Saccharomyces cerevisiae S288C: one gene and its partners. The gene in region 1 interacts genetically with each later gene. Each region holds a gene or a part of one and is shown on either strand. Other genes may lie near its edges.

Region 1 (6,440 bases):
TCAGCCGCAGACAGTGCAGTAGAAGGAGCAGACTGATGATAGTTTGGTAAATACTTGACTCTCTGGTCTGAATCCGCAGCGTACGAGGCGATCCTTTGAATGTCCTTCGTGGGCTGTACAAAGTTTTTTGTTGTTACCTTCTGTTGCTGCTGGCGGTGATGCAAGGAGGGAATATGAGAATCGCTGAACCTTCTTGCTATGAACTGATGGTTGTTGTTGCTAGGCGACAGGTTATGTACACACTGATAAAGGTCGTAAATGTTCATAGAATTAGACAGCCTCTGTTGTCTTTTAGACATGAAGTCCCCGAACAGGTCTGTATTACAAGCCCCCTCGTTATGTAACTTCTCTCTTGGTGAGCACGATTCCGAAAATTCAGAGTCGTTATCGTTGATATTGAGCACCGTTTTAATGAACTCATGTTTCTTATTAGGAGTGGGAGATCTGTTACTCTCCAGAAAATAGTCGTCATGATGGCCACCACTTCCGGCACCGCTTCTCATATCCTCCCCCTCTTCCTCCTGAATAGCCTTGTAATGGATGGTTAGATGGGCAGATATGGGTCTATTGCTACTGCTACTCAGCATGGTTATATTCTGTTGTCTTCTTTACTTTAAGGCGAAAGGTCAGACAATATGCATATATATATATAGTCTTCGAATGCACGGCAAAAATGATATGAAGAGCTATGCTACAGTATATACTTCTTTGTTATTGCAATCAACGTGAGCCTTAACCAATGAGGAAGTAAGAAGGAAATAAGAAGTAAGACATAAAATAAAACTACAAAAAAGAAAGAAGATCCGCAAAAACCCAAGAACAGCATTGTAAGTACTACCATCTATATAGATCGAATATCCTACTAATATATAGTAACTGCCACACGAAAAACTGTGGGTGTAAAGACTATTCATAGCCATTCTCTGCTGCTTTGTTGCATCGTATCATCGCCCGTTTCAGCCAGTCCCGCATACCCCCTTTGCAACGTTAACGTTACCGCTAGCGTTTACCATCTCCACGCTAAAAGGAAAACGAAGATTAAGATAAAGTTGGGTAAAATCCGGGGTAAGAGGCAAGGGGGTAGAGAAAAAAAAACCGGAGTCATTATATACGATACCGTCCAGGGTAAGACAGTGATTTCTAGCTTCCACTTTTTTCAATTTCTTTTTTTCGTTCCAAATGGCGTCCACCCGTACATCCGGAATCTGACGGCACAAGAGCCGATTAGTGGAAGCCACGGTTACGTGATTGCGGTTTTTTTTTCCTACGTATAACGCTATGACGGTAGTTGAATGTTAAAAACGAAAACAGAGATATTGAATTGATCAATTTGATCAGTACGTATGTAATCTTTTGTTTGCCATGTTAAATCGGCCTTTTTTTCCATCCGGTCTTTATCTACCATTCATTTATTACATCGCAATGAAGTCTCTCGCTTCATGTTGTTGTTTTTTTTCCTGCCTTTTTTTTATCCGCTCTCATTCTTATTTTTCCTACTTGCATTTTATAAAACAATAATATTTTTTTCTTCTTTTTGTCCTTTATTTATTACTTCCTTGATTAAAAGCTTCTTATCTTCGGTTTCATAAAGAAGAAAATTCCTTTTTTTTTTTTTTTTTCCTTCTTCTTGCTTAAAAGCCTTTCTTATACCTCATTTGAACAATAGAACTAGATTTAGAGACTAGTTTAGCATTGGCCAAGAACTAACCATACGCAATGACTGTTACTACTCCTTTTGTGAATGGTACTTCTTATTGTACCGTCACTGCATATTCCGTTCAATCTTATAAAGCTGCCATAGATTTTTACACCAAGTTTTTGTCATTAGAAAACCGCTCTTCTCCAGATGAAAACTCCACTTTATTGTCTAACGATTCCATCTCTTTGAAGATCCTTCTACGTCCTGATGAAAAAATCAATAAAAATGTTGAGGCTCATTTGAAGGAATTGAACAGTATTACCAAGACTCAAGACTGGAGATCACATGCCACCCAATCCTTGGTATTTAACACTTCCGACATCTTGGCAGTCAAGGACACTCTAAATGCTATGAACGCTCCTCTTCAAGGCTACCCAACAGAACTATTTCCAATGCAGTTGTACACTTTGGACCCATTAGGTAACGTTGTTGGTGTTACTTCTACTAAGAACGCAGTTTCAACCAAGCCAACTCCACCACCAGCACCAGAAGCTTCTGCTGAGTCTGGTCTTTCCTCTAAAGTTCACTCTTACACTGATTTGGCTTACCGTATGAAAACCACCGACACCTATCCATCTCTGCCAAAGCCATTGAACAGGCCTCAAAAGGCAATTGCCGTCATGACTTCCGGTGGTGATGCTCCAGGTATGAACTCTAACGTTAGAGCCATCGTGCGTTCCGCTATCTTCAAAGGTTGTCGTGCCTTTGTTGTCATGGAAGGTTATGAAGGTTTGGTTCGTGGTGGTCCAGAATACATCAAGGAATTCCACTGGGAAGACGTCCGTGGTTGGTCTGCTGAAGGTGGTACCAACATTGGTACTGCCCGTTGTATGGAATTCAAGAAGCGCGAAGGTAGATTATTGGGTGCCCAACATTTGATTGAGGCCGGTGTCGATGCTTTGATCGTTTGTGGTGGTGACGGTTCTTTGACTGGTGCTGATCTGTTTAGATCAGAATGGCCTTCTTTGATCGAGGAATTGTTGAAAACAAACAGAATTTCCAACGAACAATACGAAAGAATGAAGCATTTGAATATTTGCGGTACTGTCGGTTCTATTGATAACGATATGTCCACCACGGATGCTACTATTGGTGCTTACTCTGCCTTGGACAGAATCTGTAAGGCCATCGATTACGTTGAAGCCACTGCCAACTCTCACTCAAGAGCTTTCGTTGTTGAAGTTATGGGTAGAAACTGTGGTTGGTTAGCTTTATTAGCTGGTATCGCCACTTCCGCTGACTATATCTTTATTCCAGAGAAGCCAGCCACTTCCAGCGAATGGCAAGATCAAATGTGTGACATTGTCTCCAAGCACAGATCAAGGGGTAAGAGAACCACCATTGTTGTTGTTGCAGAAGGTGCTATCGCTGCTGACTTGACCCCAATTTCTCCAAGCGACGTCCACAAAGTTCTAGTTGACAGATTAGGTTTGGATACAAGAATTACTACCTTAGGTCACGTTCAAAGAGGTGGTACTGCTGTTGCTTACGACCGTATCTTGGCTACTTTACAAGGTCTTGAGGCCGTTAATGCCGTTTTGGAATCCACTCCAGACACCCCATCACCATTGATTGCTGTTAACGAAAACAAAATTGTTCGTAAACCATTAATGGAATCCGTCAAGTTGACCAAAGCAGTTGCAGAAGCCATTCAAGCTAAGGATTTCAAGAGAGCTATGTCTTTAAGAGACACTGAGTTCATTGAACATTTAAACAATTTCATGGCTATCAACTCTGCTGACCACAACGAACCAAAGCTACCAAAGGACAAGAGACTGAAGATTGCCATTGTTAATGTCGGTGCTCCAGCTGGTGGTATCAACTCTGCCGTCTACTCGATGGCTACTTACTGTATGTCCCAAGGTCACAGACCATACGCTATCTACAATGGTTGGTCTGGTTTGGCAAGACATGAAAGTGTTCGTTCTTTGAACTGGAAGGATATGTTGGGTTGGCAATCCCGTGGTGGTTCTGAAATCGGTACTAACAGAGTCACTCCAGAAGAAGCAGATCTAGGTATGATTGCTTACTATTTCCAAAAGTACGAATTTGATGGTTTGATCATCGTTGGTGGTTTCGAAGCTTTTGAATCTTTACATCAATTAGAGAGAGCAAGAGAAAGTTATCCAGCTTTCAGAATCCCAATGGTCTTGATACCAGCTACTTTGTCTAACAATGTTCCAGGTACTGAATACTCTTTGGGTTCTGATACCGCTTTGAATGCTCTAATGGAATACTGTGATGTTGTTAAACAATCCGCTTCTTCAACCAGAGGTAGAGCCTTCGTTGTCGATTGTCAAGGTGGTAACTCAGGCTATTTGGCCACTTACGCTTCTTTGGCTGTTGGTGCTCAAGTCTCTTATGTCCCAGAAGAAGGTATTTCTTTGGAGCAATTGTCCGAGGATATTGAATACTTAGCTCAATCTTTTGAAAAGGCAGAAGGTAGAGGTAGATTTGGTAAATTGATTTTGAAGAGTACAAACGCTTCTAAGGCTTTATCAGCCACTAAATTGGCTGAAGTTATTACTGCTGAAGCCGATGGCAGATTTGACGCTAAGCCAGCTTATCCAGGTCATGTACAACAAGGTGGTTTGCCATCTCCAATTGATAGAACAAGAGCCACTAGAATGGCCATTAAAGCTGTCGGCTTCATCAAAGACAACCAAGCTGCCATTGCTGAAGCTCGTGCTGCCGAAGAAAACTTCAACGCTGATGACAAGACCATTTCTGACACTGCTGCTGTCGTTGGTGTTAAGGGTTCACATGTCGTTTACAACTCCATTAGACAATTGTATGACTATGAAACTGAAGTTTCCATGAGAATGCCAAAGGTCATTCACTGGCAAGCTACCAGACTCATTGCTGACCATTTGGTTGGAAGAAAGAGAGTTGATTAAAAGAAAATGACCTTTTATTACACTTTCTATTATTAATGTCAATTAATGTTAACCCATGTTTTTCTTTTGTGTCTATAATTCTTTTTTTTTATCTCTAAGCTTTTGAACAATGAATTTTTTGTTCCTTTCTTTTAATAATACAAGTACTACCCCATGAAACCAATATTATCATGCATTTTTATGAATGTCAAGAATAAAGATACTGTTATTTTTTGTGTCTTATTTTTTTTCTCTTTGTTTATTTAAACGTTTTCTAAAATTAAAACTTATGTATACTGGAATATGTGATATAGACGATTTAAAAGATAATTCCAATAAACGTCCCTCGGATCTCATATTTATAAAGGTACCCTTTTAATACAATATTTATACATGTGCGTTAAATACTTTGTTCTCTTATTATCTATGAACTTATCACGAAGAACGGAGATGTAAACAAAAAGAGTGAATGAACTATGAACTTTAAATTACCTTATTACGGAGGAAGTATTCCTTCACCTATGAAGGATACAAGGTCTACATTTTTCGTCTGATAACTCTCAGGAAATTAAACAAAGTGGTATGGTTTTATCAAGGGGAGAAACAAAGAAAAATAGCGTGAGATTAACGGCAAAACAAGAAAAGAAACCTCAATCTACGTTTCAAACTTTAAAACAGTCACTTAAACTTAGCAACAATAAAAAGTTGAAACAGGATTCGACCCAACACTCAAACGATACAAATAAATCTGTTAAAGCCAAAAAAAATGGCACGTCCTCGAAGAAAACCGGAACACAAAGGAAAAGAATATCAACTCAGAGATTTTCATTGTTTACCTATGGCAATGTTCAGGTTATGAATTCATTCGTTCCCATTCATAATGATATTCCGAATAGCAGTTGCATTCGTAGAAATTCCCAAGTATCCGCAAATAATGTCACTGAAAGTAGTGGAGTATTCTTCAATGATACGCAAAGTCAAGACAGTCAAAACACTATTAAGTTAAAACCTACATCTTTAATGGCAAAAGGACCTATTGAAATATATCAGATATGTACAGGGTTTGATAAGTTAAAGGAAAATATAGCGCCCTTTCAAAAATCTAGTAAAGCTAGTAGTCATGATGGGCATGTAGTAAACTATTTATCGATAGGACGACATGGTGATATTGTGCATCCAGTACTACCCAAACTACAAATAACAAGGCTAAATGGCGCAGGTTTCAAATACTTTATTAGCTTTTATAATCCGGAACGGTACTGGGAAATCGAATTTCTACCTTTGATTAGTCAATCCCAATCAGAGTTGGAAAATAGTGTGAAAGCTTTTGAAAACGTCATTAGCAAAATTTGCCAATTTTCGCATATTAATGAAGGAGCTACTATTGGGAATAATGAGTCTTTGAGCGATAAATTCAAACTGCCGCCTACTTCGGACATAGAGCCCCCCAATACTGAAATAATTAATAATGATGATGATAACGATGATGATGATGATAATTATGATGATGACGACCTTAATTACTTGCTGGATGAAGAATACGAACAAGGATGTACAGATAATAGCTTCTCCGTGATATCGAACACTTGCTCTAATCTAAATGCAAGCTTTCTCTATCCGAGCGACCCTACCGATGCCGTGTCAATCTCCATAAATGAAGCTTTCAAAAATGCTATCAGACGAACCGCTCCTGTACTGAATATTCCAATAGCAGCCCCAAGTATTCATTCGAAACAGCAAAACAAAAGATATAGTTCATACCCTTTTATCGACTCTCCCCCGTATCTGCAGGACAGGCATAGAAGATTTCAGAGGAGATCCATATCTGGTCTTGGCGACCTTTGAATGAAGTTCAAAGCATAACT
Region 2 (4,915 bases), on another chromosome or scaffold:
TTGGATGTTATAACAGTAGAAGTAATTTTAGGATAATTTTAAATAAAAATAATATTAAAAATAATAATAATACTAATAATAAATGAGAATAAAATGTTGATAAATGAGGGATAAGGTCTATTCATACGTCTCATCCAAGAAGGAGAAAATATCAGAATCTTGAGTTTTAAATAGATTAATTATTGAAATTCCAATCGAATATGGAATTTCTTGAGTATCTCTGGAATGTGTTATCGGTTTCATTTCATTGGATGGTATCAAAAACCTTTTTAACGATCTGTTATTTATATCACGCACGATCACCCATCTTACTTTAAAGGCTTTGCCATATTTTTGTTCATCTTCCCATATACTGGTGTCCAAATCCATTTTCAAATCCGATACCATTTCTGCAACGCCACAGAATCTTCCTGATGTGTTGATTGAAAAAAATAAAAACACTTTGGCTCCCGAATTAAGCTTTTTATATGCCTCAGATAGCCTTTTGTTGCCGAAATGAGTAGACGACCAAATTCCGTTGTAAAACGACCTTTTGACATGCTTCAAAGACGAGGACTTTATTACAAAAAATCTTGAGTTTTCTGGAATATTTAACCAAGGGGGAATAATTGCAGCACTTTTTCTTTTATTAATTTCATTGAAAGTTTGTTCTTTAGTTGACTGCTGCAAATACCTTGGTTTGGATAAATATTCCCTGTAATAATTATTATTGCTATTATCAGATTGGTTGTAGTCTCTAGAAAAGGAGAAATGCCGATTTAAATTTGAGCTTGTCAATGGAATACTATTAATCTGGTGTGTATAGTTTTCATGAGTGATCTCTTCTTTATTTTCTTTCTTGTTAATATCATTTAAAGCTGTGACATCGTTCTTTAGCTTTGGGTTTGTTTGTACTTCAATATGAGTTCTCTCCAAGGAATGGATCAACCCATCTAGTTCTCTTAAAGAGTCTTCAATTGTCCTGTCATTTCTCTTATTTTCTTTCCATTCAGAGTTGAAGTAAAAATTTGGGGGACCTGTAGACCAGATTTGATTCATTTTTAGAGCACAACGCAATACTTACGTCACACCAGCCGTAGACGATATCTTCCTTTCTTAACGAAATAGTAACAGAGGACACAATCTGAAAACTTCTTTTGCGATTCATAACCAACAGAAAATTTTGGAGGAAAACAATGTAGCTGTATAAATATATATATATATATATGTATGTATACTTATTTATTTATATATATATCACAAAAGGCTACCAAAAAGATTAGCCGCCGAGGTACATCGTGAGGAGTGATATTCTGGGGAAACGGGTAGCGATTTCGTGTCTATTTTCGGTCACCAAGTCAACGTTACTTACTGTCGTATAACCAAAGTACAACAATAGCAACAGTTCCTAACATTCTTCCATGGATACGGAAGCATTGGCCAATTATTTGCTACGGCAGCTTAGTTTAGATGCGGAGGAGAATAAGCTAGAAGATCTTCTCCAACGGCAAAATGAAGATCAAGAGTCTAGTCAAGAATATAACAAGAAATTATTATTGGCATGTGGATTTCAGGCCATTTTAAGAAAAATTCTGCTGGATGCTAGAACAAGGGCAACTGCAGAAGGTTTGAGGGAAGTATATCCTTATCATATTGAAGCTGCAACGCAGGCTTTTCTGGATAGTCAATGAAGGGGTATTTTTAAGCCTCTTTATCATATACTCTTTTGTTCGTAATAGCAAATAACTCGGTCTTATTAACGAGAAAAAGTTAAAGCATCTTCTGAATTTTTATTATATACAAGTTATGTAGTAAGGCGCCACTTAGCACCTAGAAAATATGATTAGCGTTCCGTAAGCTGGAGACCATTTTCAACGCATCGTGTGGTGCATCTTTATTCATAACGAAAAGTCCTTGCAACTGGGCGGTACTTACGGTGATATCCAATTCTTTAACACTATTTACAAACTTTTTGCATATATCAGTCTCACCTGGGTAAAATTTCATAAACATTTTTTCTACCTGGTATGGAGTTGCGTTACCAACGAAGACTTTGTAGTCAATACGACCTGGTCTCATTATAGCCGCGTCTAGCTTTTCAGGATGATTGGTAGTCATGAATGTAATAGTTTCTTCAGAAGATGTGACGCCATCCAGGGCATTCAGTAAACCGCTAAATGTTACGCTAGAATGAAAACCTTGTTCACCAGTTTGACTTCTTTTGTTGAACGCCGCGTCAATATCTTCCAGTAATAGTATGCTCCTTTCTGGCATGTTATTCATTAAGTGGTTTAATCTGTCATCTGTTAAATTATTTTCGGAGAGGTTTAAAATACAAATGTTGTAGTCTAATTCGCCCGCTAAAGCCTGGATAAAGCTAGTCTTACCAGATCCGGGAGGGCCATAGAGTAAATATCCCCTGCGATATGGGATACCCCTGTCAGAGTACCATTTGCCGTTCTTCATAAAATCATAAACGTCATCGAGAATACCCTCTTTGATGCCACTGTCCAAAATGACGGAGGGCAGCATCCTTTTAGCTTTTGGTTGACCAAACTTTCTCCATTCAGGGCCGAAAGAAGTGTAAATAACAGTCTTGCCCTCAGTAGTCTTCAGGGCTATGTCTTTAGCCTCGTTCAAAATGTCATCGAACAAATGTTTGTCACGGTACAGTGTAGTTAAGGTTACGGTCTCAAATGGTGACCCGTTTGCGATATCTATCATTTTTGCGGACCTTTCTCTTTTAATCAGGATAAAAGCACCCTTATAACGAATCCAATGATTTCCCGGACCCGGAACCAGCGAAAATTTTGTACTAACTGATCCATTGTCATGTTGTATGTAGTTTGTCCTAACGGATAAGTGTCTAGATACCCTTTGAGGATGTTTGGCCATCCATGTTAGAAACCAGGCGTATGATTTGTCCTTCGACTGAATCTCTAAGTCGACAATCATTTGTCGGTATAGGACCCTGCTGGCTTTTATTATACCGGATCTAGCTACAGCTAAACCTGTACCAAGGATCATAAGACCACCGCCGGCGGCAAAATAGGGATTGTTTGACATAGCATCGCCAACTAGTTTTGAAAGTTTTTCCCGGACTGAGTCATTACCAGTTTCATTTGTTGGCGGAGTAATTACACCACTCAGATTTGGAGTAGCCTGTTTATCATATTGTATGTCAATCGGCTTATCCGACATGGTAGATTGAGGGCACACTTCATTTTTTTTCAAATCGTCCCTTGGTACGTCTACTGCGTTGCAAATATAGAAGAGTGGAAATCTTTACTTATACTATTTACATCGATTTTTCGGCACTCTTTAAGGGTAACTCAATCGAGATATAATTCGAAGAGCAGTAAACTATAGCTCGAACGTAACAGAAAGTTTTTTGCTTGCTATAGTTCTTGGCCACAACGCCTCATTCATTCATTTAGAAAGTTTCTCACTCTTTCTTCTTCCTTTTTTAGCTCATTACTTGTGAAAATGAGCTTTGTTCAAATAAGGCACATTTCTTCACAAATAAACCGTAAGACTGTATCCATTGTTGGATCGGGGCCTTCCGGCTTTTATACAGCGTACCATTTACTCAAGAAGTCACCGATTCCATTAAATGTTACTATATGGGAAAAGTTACCTGTTCCTTTTGGTTTAAGTAGATATGGTGTGGCACCTGATCATCCAGAAGTCAAAAATTGTGAAGAAACGTTTACCACATGTGCAGAAGAGTTTTCTTCCCCTACAAACCAAAAGCATAAATTTTCCTTTGTTGGTGGTATAACCATTGGAAAAGAAATATTGTTGAAGGAATTGCTGGATAATCAAGATGCTGTTATTTTAAGTTATGGTTGTACAGGGGACAGAAAGCTGAATATCCCTGGCGAACTCGGAACAAAAGGGGTGTTTAGCAGTAGAGAATTTGTCAATTGGTACAATGGTCATCCTGATTTCGCAAAGGATAAGCGATTTACCGATTTTGACTGGAGCAAAGTTTCGAAAGTTGGTATTATAGGAAACGGTAACGTTGCTCTTGATATTACGCGTGTACTTATTTCTAATCAAATTGATGAAATATGGGAAAATACGGACATCTCATCTCTTGCACTAAATTTGCTAAGAAGGGCACCTGTAAAGGACGTTAAGCTAATTGCACGAAGGGATTTCGTTCATTCCAAATTCACCAACAAAGAATTAAGAGAACTATGGGAGTTAGAAAAGTATGGCATACGTGGCCGTATTGATCCTAAATTTTTCCAGAAAGAAATGTTTGACCCATCTAAGTACGATCGTGCATTCAATAGACGAGTAGAGATGTGTAGTGAGTATCTCAAGCCATTTAATGAACGTTCGAAGAAAAACTATAAAAAGGCTCCTCCTCCAAGCAGCGGATATGACAAATTCTGGGAGTTAGATTATTTGAAGACTCCCTTGAAAATTAATAGAGACGATTTTGGTGCAATCAACTCTTTGAGTTTATGTAACAATCGATTAAATGAAGATAACAGTTTGCAACCCTTGAAGGACGTCAATAATATTATGACATATAAAGTGGATTTGCTGATTACTTCATTGGGATATGCAGGCGTTCCCATGCCTGAATTCTCTAAGTTGTCTATTGGATTTGACAAAGATCATATAGCTAATAAACAGGGTCGTGTTTTAACTTCCAGCGGAGAAATATTCCCACATTTATATGCATCTGGTTGGATCCGTAAGGGCAGCCAGGGCGTTATTGCCTCGACAATGCAAGATGCTTTTGAAGTTGGAGACAGAGTAATACAAGACTTGGTGGTCAGCGGAGCGCTATCCTTAGAGAATTCTATCGACCTCTCTAATATCAAGCACACCACATGGAAGGATTGGGAAAGAATCAACAAGAAGGAATTGCTTCGGGGCAAAAAGGAACACAAAACTCGGTCAAAGTTTTTAACTTTTG
Region 3 (6,680 bases), on another chromosome or scaffold:
TCATCAACGTAATGAGCGCACTGGAAACAGATTTCAAGCTTCACTCACAAATCTGTATTCAAATCTTAAATGATCTGGAAAACGAGGTCAATAGACTTAAACTGCGGCATCTTTTAATTAAGTCCAAAGATCTTACGCTTTTTTACCAAAAAACTTTATTGATTAGAGATCTATTAGATGAACTATTAGAAAACGACGATGATTTAGCAAACATGTACTTGACAGTTAAGAAGTCTCCTAAGGACAATTTTTCGGACTTGGAAATGCTTATAGAGACGTACTACACCCAATGTGATGAATACGTTCAGCAATCAGAATCTTTGATTCAGGATATCAAATCTACTGAAGAAATTGTCAACATCATATTGGACGCAAATAGAAATTCCTTAATGTTGTTGGAGTTGAAAGTTACCATCTACACGTTGGGATTCACAGTAGCATCTGTTCTGCCGGCATTCTATGGTATGAATTTAAAGAATTTCATCGAGGAGAGTGAATGGGGGTTTACTTCAGTGGCGGTATTTTCTATTGTTTCTGCCCTTTATATCACCAAGAAAAATTTTAATTCTTTAAGATCCGTGACAAAGATGACCATGTATCCAAACTCACCCGCAAACTCCAGTGTGTATCCTAAAACATCAGCGTCTATTGCCCTGACAAATAAACTAAAGCGAAGGCGGAAGTGGTGGAAATCAACCAAGCAGCGGTTGGGAGTGCTACTTTATGGCAGCAGCTACACTAATAAGGCTAACCTGTCGAATAATAAGATTAATAAAGGTTTTTCAAAGGTGAAGAAATTTAACATGGAGAATGATATTAAGAACAAGCAGAACAGAGATATGATTTGGAAATGGTTGATAGAAGACAAGAAAAATTGAAAGGCGATTATCATGATAAACTATACAATATTATTAGCATAAACCTGTATATATACATATGTAAGAAAAAAGGGTATTTAAAACTCTTTTTAACAGCAAATCTTTTGTCCTTGTAAAAACATAAATAATTAAACTAAGACTAATTATACAATGACACTTTTTTATTAAGAGCAAAATAAACAAAAAGAACTCCTATGCATTATTTTTCGTTTTATTTTAACTTCTTAAATGGAAAGCTTCTCCTTGAACAAACTTTCCAAATCATCAACTGCATCCTTTATAGCGGCTGGTTTATCACCCATACCTTGGAAAACATTACCTTTACCACCAGCCTTACCGCCGATGATACTGGACACCTTTTTGGCAAGCGCAGAACCATCAATACCCTTGGCTAAAGCAGCATTGGAGATGTAACAACCGTGAGCAACACGACCTTCAGGGTCATTACCTGCCAATAAATAGATTGACTTGTCTTTGACAGAATCATTGGATTTCATGTAGTTGATCGCTTCAGTGATAGCTTTAGCATTTGGAGAAATATCAATGAATTTAACTAGGTATGGAGCATTCTCATTGGTTTCGAAAAATGTCTTCACTTCATCAAGAGTTTGTTTGTTTTCTTTTTTGGCCCTTGACTTAACTTCATCCTTCACTGCTTTTTCAATTTTGTTAAATTTCTGCTTCAGTTCATTTTTTGTGATAACAGAAATTGAAAGTTGACCAAGTTTGACACCAAGTTCCTTCAACTTCTTTTCTTTGATTGGAGAGAACGGCAGCTTGTCTGCAGCATCCAAATCAGCAGCAAACTGTTCAGCCAATCTTTGAGCTTCAAAGGCTTCAGTTCCAGTAACAGCAACAATTCTTCTGATACCCTTTGCAATACCGCTCTCTTCTAAAATGACGAAGTATTTAATATCGCCTGTCTTGTTGACATGGGTACCACCGCAAAATTCAATAGAATACTTGGTCCACTCTTCGTTAGCTGGGTTGGCCAACAATTCTTCGATTGGCTTACCAACAGAAACTACACGAACTGGATCTGGGTAAGTCTCACCAAAGACAGCACGAACACCATCAATGGATTTGGCCAAGTCCAATGGAATTTCCTTGTAAAACACTTGTAAGTTTTCTTTAATTTGCTCATTACAGATATCTTCAACTTTTTTCAATTCTTCATTTGACACAGCCTTTTTATGAGAGAAATCGAATCTCAATTTTTCTGGGGCAACCAAAGAACCCTTTTGATCGACATCATTACCCAAAGTTTCCTTCAGAGCAAAGTTTAAGATATGTGTACCAGTATGATTGTTCTTAATAGGGAAACGACGTAGTTCATCGAATGAAGCGATAATCTTGTCACCGACAGACAACTTACCTTCTTCTAAAGACCCGGTGTGGAAAACAAAACCGTTATACAATTGAACATTTTCAACATTAAACTCAGCAGCGTCATCAATAACAATTTTACCAGTGTCATATTCTTGACCACCTTGTTCGGCGTAGAAACATGTTTTATCCAAAATAATACCGTACTTCTTACCTGGTTCAGTGATCTCATCAACAAAGTTGGTACCGTCATGCAGTTTCAAAATGGTACCTTCGACGTTGGCGCTGCCGTATTTGAATTCATCATTAGTCTTGGGCACCTTAGCATCGTTCAACTCGGATAATTCATGGACGTTTAACTTAATCAAATCACTTTGGTCCTTCTTACCACCTCTTTTGGATGCTTCGTATGACTCTTGTTTGGCCTTTTCGAAACCGGGTCCATCAATCTTCAAGCCTTGTTCTTCAGCCATCAATTCAGTCAAGTCGACTGGGAAACCATAAGTGTCGTAAAGTCTCCAAACTTGTTTACCGTCTAAAGTCTTAGATTCAGTCTTAGAAGCAGCAGAAGCATATTTTTCAAATAGTCTTTCACCACGATCCAAGGTCTTAGCGAAAGAAGCTTCTTCTTCATCCAAGATTTCAAAGAGGAATGCAGGATCCTTGGCTAATTCGGGAAAGATATCTTGAACCTGAGAAATTAAAGTTGGAGCCAAAGTGGAGAAAAAGTTACCGATTGGGTAATTCATGTATTTACGGGCGTAACGGGCACCTCTTCTTAGAATGCGTCTCAAAACATATCCTCTACCTTCATTGTTTGGAACGCCACCGTCAGCTAAGGCAAAAGTCAATGTACGGACATGATCAGCTAAAACTCTGTAGGCAGTATCGATACCGTCCTTGTCATTCTCACCAAAATTGCCAGAATATGGTCTAACTGAAGTGATTTCTTGGATACGCTCGAACAAAGGTGTGAAAACATCGGTATCATAGTTAGATCTAACATCTTGCAGAACAGAAACCAATCTTTCGAACCCCATACCTGTGTCGATATGCTTGGCAGGTAAAGGCTTCAAAGACCCGTCTTGTTCTCTGTTGAATTGAATGAAAACCAAATTCCAAACTTCCAAGACATCAGGGTCGTCCATATTAACCAAGGAAGCAGCATTTCTACCACCTATTCTATCGTAGTGAATTTCAGAACAAGGACCACATGGGCCTTGGTCACCCATTTCCCAAAAGTTGTCCTTTGCATTACCAGGTAATATATGGTCATCGGGAACACCAACATTTTTCCATAGTTCACGGGCTTCAGTATCAGGTTCCAAGCCTAACTTTTCATCACCTTCAAAATAGGTAACGTATAATCTATCCTTTGGAATGCCGTATACTTCAGTCAACAAAGTCCATGAGTAAGTAATAGCTTCCTTCTTGAAATAGTCGCCAAACGACCAGTTACCCAGCATTTCAAAAAAGGTATGATGATAAGAATCCTTACCGACATCTTCTAAATCGTTGTGTTTACCACCAGCTCTGATACACTTTTGAGAGTTGTAAGCCCTTTTCAAGGTGTAGAAATCGGAAGCTGGATCGACAGTACCTAAAAAGATAGGCTTGTATTGGTTCATACCGGCATTAGCGAAAAGTAAAGTTGGATCATCAAATGGAACTACTGGAGAGGATTTGACAAACTTGTGTTCTTTAGATTTGAAATAGTCTAGAAAGGTATTACGGACATTAGTAGCGGTCCATTTTTGCTTATCACCGATCGTCATTATGGTTCTAGTTGATGTAGTTAATTGCTTCTTGAAAGAAAGAGTCAAGTTCCTTAATCCGGTAGTTGACGTCGTCTTGTCTTAAATAAGAAGATGTTGGAAGCACGCCTTTTTTGTAATTCTATTTAAAAAAAACCGACTTTGTTCAATCAAACTGCTTTCATATCTGATAGCAGTCGCCAACTGCGTTTTTCTTGTTTTACTCATCATCCATCGAGCGGATGAAAAAAAAGAGAAAAAAGAAACGGCCAATCCGTTGATCATGATTAAATAAAATATAGGGTTCTGAATTGTTAGGTTTAATCTGCAAATTATTCAGGTCATCGTTGACTTTTTTGCAGGGCACTAAAAACCGCTAACATAGGACGGTATATTGCTGATTTTAGACTTAACTTCTTGGTGTAGTCGTCTCTGAACATGGCATGATACAGCTTTGGTGGGTCACTAGAACAATTTGAATCTTGCTCAGCACGCTCTGTCTTACGTATATATCCAATTTCAGTTGATTCGAAAGACATGAAAGATTATTAATGTGTGCATTACCCGGATTGTCAATAACTCATATAGTTAGTATACTAATTAACTAACTATATAACGTGGCATATTAAAGATTAATTGTCCTGGTAGAATATAGACGTATCAGTGTGAGTGCCTCTGTTGATTATGAGACTACTTGCGTTGGTATTGTTATTGTTGTGTGCGCCGCTTCGTGCATGGACTTATAGCTTACGATATGGCATACCCGAATCTGCTCAGGTCTGGTCTATTTTAGTTCATTTACTGGGCGATGTTGATAATCAGCTGTTAACTAATTTATATCCTTTGGTTACCGGTTTGGATGACGAGATTGATATTCAAGAAAATCTTGTGGCGCTAACTTCCAATGTATTAAGGGAGCGATACGATAAAGAGGATGTGGCTGATTTATTGGAACTGTATGCTAGTCTTTACCCTATGGGTATGATACAGCACGATATCAGTTCCAATGCAGAACAAGACGATGCAAATAGTAGCTATTTCGTTTTGAATGGTAATAGGTACGAAAAGCCCGACGACGTGTTCTACTTGAAATCTAAGGATTTAACAATTCAACAGAAAGTCCCAGATGTTGATGTTATACAACCTTACGATGTTGTCATTGGTACTAACTCAGAAGCGCCGATATTGATCTTGTACGGTTGTCCTACCGTTATTGACTCCGACTTCGAAGAATTCAATAGGAATTTATTTATGGAAGCAATGAATGGAGAGGGAAAATTTAGATTTATTTGGAGATCCACATGTTCCCTTGATGGGAAAAGCGTGGAGTATCCCTTAACTCATCCGCTTGAAATTACTTTACAAAATGGTTCTAGAATGAGCTCCATACCTCAATTAAAAAAAATACTATATACTGTACCCAAAGAAATATTGGTTGGAGCAGACAACGATGATCAGCTCCATGATCTAGAACCAGAAGAATTACGTGAACTTGATTTGAGAGTAACATCGTTAATCTCAGAATTTTACCAATATAAAAAGGATATCACAGCCACTCTAAATTTCACCAAAAGTATTGTTAACAACTTTCCACTAATCTCTAAACAACTGATTAAGGTTTCATCTGTTAACAAGGATATAATAACAAGTAATGAAGAACTCAATAGTAAAGGCTTCGATTACAACATGCTAGGTCTCTATATTAATGGACAGAATTGGAAAATTACCTCACTGACTCCGTACAATTTGCTTACTGCTTTAAAAACTGAATACCAAAGTTTACTGAAAATTACGAACCTTTTGCAAGAACTCGAGCCATCGAAATGCATACTAGATTCCAAGTTTTTACTCAATAAGTTTTCTCAATTTTCATTGGGGAAGTTGCAAAACTTACAACCAATCAAAATGGATCTCCACACAATTCCAGGGTTCTCAGAATCAGTAATATACTTCAATGATATCGAAAGCGACCCGCAATATGACGAATTAGTAAATAGTGTTCAAGCATTTTTTGATAAATCGAAATTCGGAGAGTTGCCTGAAATAAAGCAAAACTGGTCAGAGATCATATTCGTTATAGATTTCGCCCGTTTAGAAGATAGTGAGGTGAAGGAGGCATTGGGTGGGTTGGTTCGTGCCGTTAATGTTGTCTCCCAGGGATATCCGCAAAGAGTCGGACTATTGCCATTTAGTTCAGATAGTGACAAGTCCGTTGTTAATAAAATTTACGAGCTGAAGAACTCAACTGACAATTTAACAGAATTAAAAAGTTTTTTGGAGACAATGCTGCTTGCAGATGGCCTTTCCGCGAATGCAAAACATTCAAAACACATACCAGTTCCAGATGTTTTCCATCTACTTGATGAACTTCAAATTGACGAAACATCAATTATAATCAATGGAGAGATTTACCCATTTAGAAAAAATGCTTGGAATTATTTAATTGCAAAAGTTATCAAAAAGGACACTGAATTTATTCGTAAAGAATTGAGCAATTCTTCTCCGAAAAACAAACAAATTAGCGTAAGGGACTTATTGCATTACAAATCTGCAAATCTGAGACATAATAAATATACACCAAATTATTTTGCTGATTCGGTATATTCTTCGGTCAACAATACTGCATTGGAAAGCGTATGCTCAGAAAGAATAGGCTACTATACTAAAAATGAAGAATACAATTTATTACACACAATCACATTAGTGGATGATTTTGGCTCTA
Region 4 (5,278 bases), on another chromosome or scaffold:
AAAAGGAGTGGACAAAAAAGGCGTGAATTTTACTCCACTGGCGGTAGCCGCCTATAAAGAAATTGATAAGAGGCGTGCCTCTTATGCGATCTTCGGACCAACAACAAAGCACACAATAGCGCAAAGTATACACAATAGAGAGCCTGTAGGAAAGCAGTGGGGAATGTCTTGGCTTTTTTTATGCCCAGAAAAAAATAAACGTAACGTTGGGGAACTACGCGCAATCATATTTCATGGCCTCCCCACGGTGCTTAGAGCAGCGCGTTGCCTACAGAAACATCTTTATAAAATCTTGGCCGGCCAAGATTCCCAAACGAGACTCACATTTCCCAAAAAAGACATTTCTGTCCAAAAGTAGAAGGCAAGAAAACCCTGGAGGAATCATAGGCAAAGAAAGAAAAGAAGAAGTTCATCTTTAAAACTACCTTTCAAGCCTTTATTCGTTCCTCGTAAAGGACACACGAAAAAAATAAACAGTACCTTGCAGAAGGAGTGCAGAGTTAGGTCGCAGGGAATCCTTGAAAGCCAAGAGTTTTTTTTCCGTAATGATCTCCCAAAGCAACCATCAACATTGTGGTGCAAAGTTTAGTGTAAGATGTTCTACTGAACTATCTTAATAGCTGAGCATCATGTGAGTAAACGAGTAAGCAAGAAAACAACAAAGTAATGTTCAACTTTCGTAACTACGGAAAATAATATATAAGTAGTTAACGAAATTCGAACAATGAGAGCTCTCACATATCATCTTCTTTTCCAGTTTAGCCATTATCAGCACAATAATACAAAACACACTCGTACACTCGCTTCAACTATAACAAAAAAATGGCTTACATCAAGATCGCTTTATTAGCTGCTATCGCTGCTTTGGCTTCTGCCCAAACTCAGGAAGAAATTGACGAATTGAACGTTATTTTGAATGACGTTAAGTCCAACTTGCAAGAATATATTAGTTTGGCTGAAGATTCTTCATCTGGATTTTCCTTAAGCAGTCTGCCATCTGGTGTTTTAGACATCGGTTTAGCTTTGGCTTCCGCCACTGATGACTCCTACACTACTTTGTACTCTGAGGTTGACTTTGCTGCTGTTAGCAAGATGTTGACCATGGTTCCATGGTATTCTTCCAGGCTTCTACCAGAATTGGAATCCTTGTTAGGAACTTCTACCACCGCTGCCTCTTCTACTGAAGCTTCTTCTGCTGCTACTTCTTCCGCTGTTGCTTCCTCCAGTGAAACTACTTCTTCTGCCGTCGCTTCCTCCAGTGAAGCTACTTCTTCTGCCGTCGCTTCTTCCAGTGAAGCTTCTTCTTCTGCTGCTACTTCTTCTGCTGTCGCTTCTTCCAGTGAGGCTACCTCTTCCACCGTCGCTTCCTCTACCAAGGCTGCCTCTTCCACTAAGGCTTCTTCCTCTGCTGTTTCTTCAGCTGTTGCTTCTTCCACCAAAGCCTCCGCCATTTCTCAAATCAGTGATGGTCAAGTTCAAGCCACTAGCACTGTTTCCGAACAAACTGAAAACGGTGCTGCCAAGGCTGTCATCGGTATGGGTGCTGGTGTCATGGCCGCTGCCGCCATGTTATTATAATCTCATTTTTAAATGGAATTTTTAATGTTCGTATATACCAATTTATCTATTGAATAGTTTTTTTTAAATTTTACTGTTTCTTTTAAACCTCGAATTATTGTGAGAACTGATTTCATCAACTGGAGGCTGTAGTGTACGTTTTGAAAACGGAAATGATTTACCGTTTTCTTTTATGATGATGCTAGGATAGGCACCTTCAAACATGCATGTCTTCCTGCCCACATTCTGAAAATATTTAACGATGGATGAAAGAAATCAACAATAGAAAAGGCCAGTTGTCAGTTTTTATATAATACAGAGAAGTACATATGACAGTTTAAAAGTTAAGCATTAACTGGTAAGTTGAAATAATAATATAATCATAAGCGGAACGAACATTTTCGACACGTACTAAAATCATAGTAGCATGGCGGCAACAGCAGCTAAAGCACCGGCACCCATACCGATAACAGCCTTGGCAGCACCGTTTTCGGTTTGTTCAACGATACCGGTAGTTTTAGATTGAACGCTAACAACGGTAGCAGACTTCTTAGCTTGACAGGCGGAGTCACATACGGTAACTGTAGTCTTTAGTGTAGAGAAGTCAGTTGCAGTAGAGGTACCTTCTTTGCATGTACTGCAGATAGTAGCGGTTGAAACCTTAGTAGAATTGTTGTAACCGGTGGTGGAAGCTGGAACGGCAGATGTTGAAGAGTAGTCACAGACAGTGGTTTCTTTGGTGACAAGAGTGTTGTCAGTTTCAGTAACAGTGGTACCGTTTCTGGTTGAGATAATAACGCTGGAAGCAGAACTAGCTGGGGTGGTGGTGGTTGTGGAGTTGTAAGGAGCAATGGTCGAGATAGAAGTCTGGGCAGTGGAAGAAGAGCTAGCAATGGTTGAGTTGTAAGGAGCAACGCTTGAGCTAGCAGGTCCGGCCGAAGATGAAACAACTGAGGAAACTGGAGAGGAACTGACAGCTTCAGAAGAGGAAACGGCTGAGGAAGAACTGACAGAGGAAGAGCTAACAGACTCGGTCGAAGAGGAAACAGCGGAGGAAGATGTGACAGCAGAAGAACTAGTAGCTTCGCTTGTAGAAGAAGCAACGGAAGAGCTGACAACTTCACTTGAGGATGGCGCAACAGAGGAGCTGGCAACTTCACTTGAGGATGAAGCAACGGAAGAGCTGACAACTTCACTTGAGGATGGTGCAACGGAAGAGCTGACAACTTCACTTGAGGATGGCGCAACAGAGGAGCTGGCAACTTCACTTGAGGATGAAGCAACGGAAGAGCTGACAACTTCACTTGAGGATGGCGCAACAGAGGAGCTGGCAACTTCACTTGAGGATGAAGCAACGGAAGAGCTGACAACTTCACTTGAGGATGGTGCAACGGAAGAGCTGACAACTTCACTTGAGGATGGTGCAACGGAAGAGCTGACAACTTCACTTGAGGATGGTGCAACAGAAGAGCTAGTGGATGAAGCAATAGAAGAGCTAGCAACTTCACTTGAAGATGTGGCAGCAGAACTTGAGGTAGTTAGAGAAGCATCCATTGCTTCTAATTCTGGAAGCAGTCTAGAAGAGTACCATGGGACCATAGTCAACATATGCTCAACAGCAGAAAAGTCCACTTCAGAGTACAAAGTGGTGTAGGAGTCATCACTTGGATTTGCAACCAATTGCGCAGCAATATCCATAATACCAGCTGGCATTTGGTCCAAGGAAAAACCTGAATTTGGAGTGTAGGATAGGGTGATGTAGTCGGCAATGTTGGTCTTAACATCATCTAAAACAACGTTCAATTCGTTGATTTGTGCTTGGGTTTGAGCGTAAGCAATAGCAGCAAGAGCGGCTAGTAATGTGATTTTAGAGTAAGCCATATTTTTTATGGTATTAATAAGCGAGTGAATAGGTTTTTGTTGCTGGTTTCTATCAGAACAAGAGTAGGGAACGAGATAAGTAAACGGGCTAAAAACTGATCTGTCCTAGCGATCCTTCCCTTTTTATATTCGAAAGCTTGGGATCATATCTTACTGCGTGGAAAACAAAGAATTTGCATCCTCCCTTTTGGACTATCCTACTTGTTAGAAATGCATCGTTTAGGAACCCTGTTCTATTATTTTCCGTCATTTTTTGAGAATTTCCATTCCTTCTAAAAGTGGCAGATGGGTTGTTACGAGATTTTTACTGATAATTCGCGCGCAGCGTCGCCTCTCCGCGAGTTTCAGTGTAAGCTATTGTTGAAAAGTACTTCGTTTGCCTTTTTAAGTTGCCTTTGGTTGCCATTGTTGTATCTTCAGGGTTTTCTTCGGATCACATCAGCTGTGAGAGTACGGTTAAGTTTGGAAGTCACAACTCGATTATGCCAGTTCGTAAGTGAGCACTAGATGACCTTGCTTTCCCCGTACGAGCCGGTTACGGTAGCAACTTTTGTTTTCCTTGCGCGGAGTGTATGCCTATTCTGATCTTTAAATTTCCTGAAGTGTCTGTCGTGCGCCGTAAACGAATTATTACACACACACGAATCTGGGAAACCGTGAACCCCATACATTGTCTTTTTTTTTTCACAGTCCCTTATCAGTACCGTTTGGCTAACAAAAGCATAAAATATTGTTCGTTCAGATGACCCCTTCAGTACACCGCGTTTACAGTTTCAAAGTTCCTTTTAGAATAGCACCCTGTTCGCCGGCGGATAATTTGCACGCCGTATGAAGGAAGAACATATAAAAACGCAAAATATGAGGCATAAACAATCACAATATCCTCACCTTAGAAGTTAGCCGTAGCGGTTTTCTTGCGCGTGCTTGTTTCTTTTCTTAGTTCTAAGCTTCAGCAAACCCATCCACAATCTTTCTTCAAGAACTTTATCGTGTCTACTTCATAACAACCTGCTAAACAGATTGTGAAATCGTTCCTGCTCAAGCAAGTAGTTTATGATAAATCGTCTTGTAATAGCTCGGCAAAACAACATCATATATGAAAGTGTTTCAAGTTTTTTGCCTAGTAGCAGACTGGAAATTCCACCACCTCTCTTCCAGACTTCGGTTTACATAAGAACTTAATGGTGTGTAATTTTTTTACATACTTCTGGAAGCAGATATCATCGGCCCCCAAAGTCGCCTTCTGCAAAATAATGTGGAGATCTTATCTTGTTTTTCTCTTCTTTATGACACCAAGGATACAAACATATTGTCCTGTACCGGTACTAAGGTCAATGGCAGTATTAAATATTATCTCTCCGCTTATAATTTTTGTCAGTCCTATTAAAAAGCAAGACAGTTTACACAGCAGCGCTTGTTACGCAAATTTGACGTTAGTGGAAAAGCTGCAACTTTGGCATTCTATGTCAAACGATTAGTAATATAGTTGACTACTTTCGTAGAATTCCTTCCTCAAGAAAAATTTTCTCCGCCTTTCCTCTCTGAAGATGGAAATAACGCTGCATGGGGAAGAAAATAATGTAATTTTCGAAGCGAAAGCGAGAGAAACGGAGGGGAAAAATAAAAGTGTTTGGCGTATCATAGCCTCATTTGGAAGAATTTAACGCAGTGTAGTTTTCTTGGACGATACAGTAAACTCGACCAGGCACTAACATTACAGAAAATCTCGTATTGATATTGTTATTGCTTAAAGGGTAATCAAGGTAAACAAGAAAGAAGCTCCTCGTTGTCCGTAAATTTTTTAATAAGGAGAGAGAAAAAGAGAGATAACCAAGAGGAG

Evidence for each region.
Region 2: mutations in PFK2 (region 1) and BCS1 together harm fitness more than expected from each alone (negative genetic interaction), as found in Saccharomyces cerevisiae (2 studies listed by BioGRID).
Region 3: mutations in PFK2 (region 1) and ALA1 together harm fitness more than expected from each alone (negative genetic interaction), as found in Saccharomyces cerevisiae (2 studies listed by BioGRID).
Region 4: mutations in PFK2 (region 1) and TIR4 together harm fitness more than expected from each alone (negative genetic interaction), as found in Saccharomyces cerevisiae (2 studies listed by BioGRID).

Annotation. Positions count from the first base shown.
Region 1 is NC_001145.3:670,043-676,482, reverse strand, and holds PFK2 (6-phosphofructokinase subunit beta), read left to right. Parts: upstream 1-1,716; coding exon 1,717-4,596; downstream 4,597-6,440. Other genes in the region: YMR206W (uncharacterized protein), read right to left, coding at 1-587; INP1 (Inp1p), read left to right, coding at 5,158-6,420. UniProt on the Saccharomyces cerevisiae protein: Catalyzes the phosphorylation of D-fructose 6-phosphate to fructose 1,6-bisphosphate by ATP, the first committing step of glycolysis.
Region 2 is NC_001136.10:1,223,357-1,228,271, forward strand, and holds BCS1 (bifunctional AAA family ATPase chaperone/translocase BCS1), read right to left. Parts: upstream 3,181-4,915; coding exon 1,810-3,180; downstream 1-1,809. Other genes in the region: PHO92 (mRNA-binding phosphate metabolism regulator), read right to left, coding at 118-1,038; WIP1 (Wip1p), read left to right, coding at 1,401-1,670; ARH1 (NADPH-adrenodoxin reductase), read left to right, coding at 3,466-4,915.
Region 3 is NC_001147.6:945,131-951,810, forward strand, and holds ALA1 (alanine--tRNA ligase), read right to left. Parts: upstream 3,980-6,680; coding exon 1,103-3,979; downstream 1-1,102. Other genes in the region: MRS2 (Mrs2p), read left to right, coding at 1-878; KRE5 (Kre5p), read left to right, coding at 4,643-6,680. UniProt on the Saccharomyces cerevisiae protein: Catalyzes the attachment of alanine to tRNA(Ala) in a two-step reaction: alanine is first activated by ATP to form Ala-AMP and then transferred to the acceptor end of tRNA(Ala). Also edits incorrectly charged tRNA(Ala) via its editing domain.
Region 4 is NC_001147.6:342,495-347,772, reverse strand, and holds TIR4 (Tir4p), read right to left. Parts: upstream 3,439-5,278; coding exon 1,975-3,438; downstream 1-1,974. Other genes in the region: TIR2 (putative GPI-anchored mannoprotein), read left to right, coding at 823-1,578; YOR008C-A (uncharacterized protein), read left to right, coding at 4,692-4,916. UniProt on the Saccharomyces cerevisiae protein: Component of the cell wall. Required for anaerobic growth.